2 linked regions of the Kluyveromyces lactis genome follow. The protein of the gene in region 2 interacts with the protein of the main gene of each other region in a pairwise test. Links are inferred from orthologs where the notes say so. Each region holds a gene or a part of one and is shown on either strand. Other genes may lie near its edges.

Evidence for each region.
Region 1: the proteins of SAH1 (region 2) and CAF16 interact in binary tests that used the Saccharomyces cerevisiae proteins (3 or more experiments, as listed by UniProt). The link is inferred for Kluyveromyces lactis from reciprocal best matches to the Saccharomyces cerevisiae genes SAH1 and CAF16.

Annotation. Positions count from the first base shown.
Region 1 is NC_006042.1:820,570-823,636, reverse strand, and holds CAF16 (putative ATP-binding cassette family ATPase CAF16), read right to left. Parts: upstream 1,599-3,067; coding exon 777-1,598; downstream 1-776. Other genes in the region: ERG3 (C-5 sterol desaturase), read right to left, coding at 1-42; SAGA complex subunit SPT8, read left to right, coding at 1,893-3,067.
Region 2 is NC_006037.1:109,650-113,280, forward strand, and holds SAH1 (adenosylhomocysteinase), read left to right. Parts: upstream 1-1,509; coding exon 1,510-2,859; downstream 2,860-3,631. Other genes in the region: KLLA0_A01177g (uncharacterized protein), read left to right, coding at 1-999. UniProt on the Saccharomyces cerevisiae protein: Adenosylhomocysteine is a competitive inhibitor of S-adenosyl-L-methionine-dependent methyl transferase reactions; therefore adenosylhomocysteinase may play a key role in the control of methylations via regulation of the intracellular concentration of adenosylhomocysteine.

The sequences.
Region 1 (3,067 bases), on a different chromosome or scaffold from region 2:
ATCCAACAGATACGTATCACAAACTTCCAATAATAAATCCATGGTGTGTATTCGAATATATGTATATCAGCTTGGGATTCTCCCTCTACTGTGTTTTGCTTCTATATGCCGACTTATTCCTGCTGCTTTTACGATCTGAATCTAGCAACTAAATCAAACTGGCTAACTCATCGCCTTATATACATATATTATTTATATATCAGTGTGTATAGAAAATATCACGATTTCATTTTTAACTTTTTTTTCACGAAGTTAACCAAATTGAACGATAAAAAACCCGAGTTTTAACGATAGAATGCGAAGAGTATCGAGCCTCATCGGTCCATTTCTTCAATAAGCATTGGCTTGCGAAACCAAGCCGTTCATACCGTTATCACAGCTAGTCTATACGACTAGCTCTTTTCTTCTAGAGTGTTTACGGCGTACTTTTCGCAAGTTGTGGCCTGTTTTTCTGTCGCCAGTTGGGCTTTGATGCACATTTCAGCACCACCCAGTTTCCTTTCTGGTACGGCAGTTTCTGGGGTTTCCTAACTGTTTTTTTTTATTCGCTTCGTATTATGCTTTTCATTCTTTTCGTTCCCTCGAGGCGAAATCCCGTAAACGACGTTATACGATTGGCAGCATTACGTTTTTTAAACGAGGAAGGGAGGGAACCTAGGCAATGGACCGATATATTACTCACGTGATTTATCTTTCGCTTTGTGTATGATTAAAGTCTGATTATGTATATATAGTATATTACAGACATATATCGGTTTGACCGTTTAGAAGTTGAATCAAAGCTTTTGGTCTTCGACTTGGTCTCTGGTCAACCAGTGGAGTGCAAGCGGGTATAAACTCTTCATGTAGCCTAGTATCACGGTGTGTCGTCCGTTGTCCTTTCGCTCTTGGACGCCCTCTATTTCCTTTGTAAAGTGGATATCACGTTGGTAATCCAACGTTCTTGTGATGGTGCCATCTTGCAAATGGATAATCTCATCAGCCCATGGTGCTAGCCCATCGAAAATGTGCGTTGCATACACAACGCTACATTGTCTGTCTCTCGTTTCTCGATCCAGGAATTGGAATAGACGGTCACGTGCCACGACATCCAAGTCCACAGTGACTTCGTCTAATAGCAGAACTTTGAAGGGTTTCAATAAACCCATGCACAGTTGTACACGTCTCTTTTGGCCATCGCTAAGTTTGAACATTCTCCAATTGATATCCACTTCCAAGATTCTCACTAGCTCTTCACCTCGAGCCCTGTAGTGGCTTAGTCCGATACTCTCCAAGAGTTCCAGGACTCCTATATCCCTGTGTACAATAGCCATACTAGCCCATTCAGTGCCTAAGTAAGTAGTCAGTATCACGGACTCCTGGTCATTGTTTGGTGCGAATGGGTTCTTGTTTCCAACTTTTATGTTCCCACCGAGACACAAATGTTTACCACTTAGTAGTTTCAACAGCGTAGATTTTCCAGCACCGTTGTTACCCACCACTAAGACTTTCTTGTTCCATTCGACACTTAGCGATAGATCGTGGATTGCTGAGCGTTTACTTCCGGGGAATGCGTACGTTAGATCGTGCACTTCCACTGCTAGGTCGTTCGAGGCCATTATTTGTTTTGGCTTGTAGTTTTCAAAGGTTTGAGTGACTTGTTCTATAGTTAGATACCGATTGAGCGGTGATTAGAAGCTCCGCCAGTGTATAATAGGATCGTTATCTTGTTGTCTCCATTTGAAAGTGTTCTGATTCAATTTGATATTTGGAAAATAAAACTGTTGATATTGAAATGATTTCAACCAAAATAAACCTGTCTGTACGAATTTAGGACACAGTGAATATGACAGGAAACACTGTAACACATCACAACAAAACATTGTCCTTTCCCACCTAAGCCACGTTCCAATATGGATGATGATGTGGATGAAATCTTGAATCAAAATAACGTTCAAAATACTCAAGATGATGATGTTGACATGGACGATGAATTGGAGGATGTAGATGTGGATGTTCCGAACGCCGAAGAGGACGAGCCGATGGACGAGGAAGAACAAGATGAAGATGCTGAAGATGCCGATGATGACGACGATGAGGATGAAGATCGGAGCGATGACGAAGATGCTGAAGATCGAAGTGAGGATGATGATGATGATGATGATGATGATGATGAACGCAGTGATGACGATGATGACGATGATGACGAGGAAGAAGATGAAGAACAGACAGAGAATGGTGAAGAGGGCACGAGAACGGGGGAAATTAAACAATCTAATACCCACGAAATTGGAGATGATGATGCCGAGAGTGCCGAAAAGGAATCCGCAACTTCTGAGAAGGATTCTCCATCTTCTTCAGATGGGAAATCTACTGAAATGTCAAAGCTGGATAAGATACATCAATATTATACGACTCTTTATAGATCTGCATCTGTAGCAGAATCTTATAATATACTTCCAACTGCAGCAATACCAATACAGACTAATGTACAGGCATTGACCATGTCCAAGGGTCTACGGTATCTATTTCTCGGTGGGTCAGACGGGTTTATAAGGAAGTTTGACTTCTTAAATACTGTGGATGGTAAGCTATCACTAACTATTCAGCAGAAGAACGCATTGGTGGATTCAATTGTCAATGCGGGTATCTTGACTTCTTATTGGGAGAATGAAGTACCGCAACCTCCGTCAAAAGTAAAATGGGTAAAACAAAAGTCGGAGTATCTTCCTCTCGTCTCACCTGTCCACTCCTTGGCGGTTCAAAATGAATGTTTGTTCATACTAGCCGGACAAGAAACTGGCGGTATCGTAATGCAGGGTGTTAGATATTTTGAAGGGAGGACTGCACACTATTTTAAAGGTCATAAATCCATCGTTAACCATCTTGTACTTAATGATGAGGAAACTAGGTTTTTATCGGGTTCTTGGGACAAAACCGTCATTGAATGGGATTTGGAAACAGGAACTGATATAACCAAGTTCAATGCTACATCACAGTTGTCTTCATTAGAATTCAGACCCACCAATGCCGCCTACGAACTTCCTGAGCCTAACTTGAGTGGACACAATCCTGATGTCGATAGCAA
Region 2 (3,631 bases):
GTTGACGAATGTGATATGTCTATGGAAGAAATGTTAAGAAACGACTTTATGTCCTGGAAAATAACGATTGAAAACAAACTGTCAAACACTATGAAAGATTTCGAAAATGATATCAATGAGTTCGCTCAGGAGAAACTAGATCACATTCAACCTACTTTGGCAGATCTATTGAAAAGAGCCAGTAACACTTCACAAACCAACTTCCAAATAATCACTAAGGCCATCATGGATGTAAATTGCACTGAAAGTGTGGATCCAAAAACCAACAAAACCATATGGTTCGACCAAAACAATACCCAGCTACCTAAGTACATGACCAGAGAATTAATGCGTGAATATTTCTCGGCAGCACATTCACAATTCGATGCACTATCACAAGAGATACGCGCTCATCTACGAAAATTGGCAGACGAAGTGAACGATCACGTCGAAGTTCTCCGCCAAGAGAACGTCGAGCTGTTTGAAGAATGGGCAGATGTGATGATTACAGAATGGTCTAAGAATCTAGCCTACGTGGACGTGGCTGTTAACGAAGAGAAGCTGGCAGACTTAGAAAAGGAACAGCGTAAGAATTGGAAAGACTTCATGAAGTTGAAAAGACAAGTGATTAAGACAAGAGATACATTGATGGAGCATCCAGTGAAGCTTGACTCTCTACAGTCCTTTGTGAACACAGTACAGCAGTCGTTGAAGACGCTCTCTCATGAAAACGGAGAATATTTGTACATTTTGAGAAGTAAAGCTAATCTAGAGTTCCAAGCACGTGAGGCTTTAGAGCGACAGCAAAGAGAGAAGGAGAAGGCAGAGTCCGCTTCGATGAAAGCATCAACTGAATTCGAACTCTCTTCCTCTTCCTTTTCCTCTTCCTCTCCCTCCACTGCATCTTCATGCACTGCATCAAGTACCTCTACTGCTTCCTTACTCGCTGTGGAAAAAACTATCGCACTAGAAGACCTGCAATCCTATTATCAAAATGTATCAAGTACAGATTCTCTGTAACGCACTGTAACATTTCCCAGCATCATCTAATGCTGTACGTGCAGCGTATATAATAATATAGTATAATATGTAGTTTAATGACATAACTCAACTGTTACCCTCCTTCGGTCTGTGCATGTGCAAAATTAAAATTAATCCGCTGTCCAAACTAAACGAGCACATGTCCAGAAAAGGAATTTTCAACGACTAAAAATCAAGTTTCTCCAGTAAAGTAAGAAAGACTTGCCACTCAGAGCTCATCGTTCAAAGGACACCAAACTGTTCAAATCAAGGCATCGCCTTGTGAAAAAAAAAGTAAAAAAAAAAAAAAACTGGATAAAACTGAAAAAAACGAAAAGGTTCAATCTACCGAGTATATAAAAGGAACAGAAACACATTTGGCAATTACGTTGGATTGGGATATTCATAGATATAGATTCCTTACGTACTTTTTGATTAAAGTTAATATTAAGGTTTAGTTGTTACGCAAAAGCACACACCACATATACAACACAAGAACATACATATAAGATGTCTGCTCCAGCTCATAATTATAAGGTCGCTGATATTTCTCTTGCTGCCTTTGGTAGAAAGGAAATCGAATTGGCTGAACACGAAATGCCAGGTTTGATTGCCATCAGAGAAGCCTACGGTGCTGAGCAACCATTGAAGGGTGCTAGAATTGCCGGTTGTTTGCACATGACCATTCAAACTGCTGTTTTGATTGAAACTTTGGTTGCCTTGGGTGCTGAAGTTACCTGGAGTTCTTGTAACATTTACTCTACTCAAGACCACGCTGCTGCTGCCATTGCCGCATCTGGTGTTCCAGTCTTTGCTTGGAAGGGTGAAACCGAAGAAGAGTACTTGTGGTGTATCGAACAACAATTGTTCGCTTTCAAGGACGACAAGAAGTTGAATTTGATCTTGGATGATGGTGGTGATTTGACCAGTTTGGTTCACGACAAATACCCAGACATGTTGATGGACTGTTTCGGTTTATCTGAAGAAACCACCACTGGTGTCCACCATTTGTACAGAATGGTTAAGGAAAACAAGTTGAAGGTCCCAGCTATCAACGTTAACGATTCCGTTACCAAGTCTAAGTTCGACAATCTGTACGGTTGTAGAGAATCCTTGATCGATGGTATTAAGAGAGCCACCGATGTCATGTTGGCCGGTAAGGTTGCTGTCGTTGCTGGTTACGGTGACGTCGGTAAAGGTTGTGCTGCTGCCTTGAGAGGTTTCGGTGCTCGTGTCATTGTCACTGAAATCGATCCAATTAACGCTTTACAAGCTGCTATGGAAGGTTACCAAGTCATCCCTATGGAAGAAGCTGTTTCCTCCGGTCAAGTCTTCGTCACCACCACCGGTTGTAGAGACATTATCACCAAGGAACATTTCTTGCAAATGCCAGAAGATGCCATTGTTTGTAACATTGGTCACTTCGACATTGAAATCGATGTTGCTTGGTTGAAGGCCAACGCCACTGAAGTTATCAACATCAAGCCTCAAGTCGACCGTTACTTGCTACCTTCTGGTAAGCACGTCATCTTGTTGGCTGATGGTAGATTGGTTAACTTGGGTTGTGCTACTGGTCACTCTTCCTTCGTTATGTCCTGTTCTTTCTCTAACCAAGTTTTGGCTCAAATTGCTTTGTTCAAGGCTCAAGACAAAGCATTCAGAGAAAAGTACATCGAATTCCAAAAGACTGGTCCATTTGATATCGGTGTTCACGTTCTACCAAAGATCTTGGACGAAGCTGTTGCCAAGTTCCACTTGGACAACCTAGGTGTTAAGTTAACCAAGTTGTCTGACGTTCAATCTGAATACTTGGGTATTCCAGAAGAGGGTCCATACAAGGCTGATCACTACAGATACTAAGCTGAGTTCATCTAAGAATATCTTATCCGAATCATCAACAGTAGCGTATTGTAGCCTACTTCGATCTTTATGGATATCTCATTTTTTTCATTTGCTCATGCTTTTACAATCAGTCTGCTAGCTTTTCTATGGATGATGACTTTCCTTCGTGATTGTAATAATCTTTTAAAATAACCTTTCTTTCTATTAGCGGTTTCACTCAACTGAATTCCTGCAATAAATTGCACATTGGGTATTTTACATTAGCGCACCATCATTAACATTTTCATTAACATATCAAGCTCATAAATTGTAACTCTCAGGCGTTCTCTCAGTGAGATATTAATACGACTGTACAATGCTTGGCATTTTTTTTTCATATTATCTTTCAATGAGTATTAGATACAGAATCTACACTCTCATTTAATGTACATATCACTTTATAAATTACTTACTAATAACAGATCTTCAACGGTTAATTCAAGCGTAGAACGCCCACATTTCTGCAAGACCTTAACATTGCATTCAAGCCTGTACAGTATAAATCTACACATTGCACTTGCATTGTCGAGTATCATATTGGTGGACTTTGTCTTGTTTTTTCTGCTTAGGGTAACTGGGAAATGGCTACAATTGAGCTCCCTTTATTAAAAAAGGATAAAGTTTAAAGATCAACAATACCTATCTGAGATTCTGAAGTCACCAAGAGAGTAATATTTTACGCTATTGTCACCAGTTAATACCGAGGCTTACGTAGGTGTCCAAACATATTAACAGTATAAGGGGAAGTTAG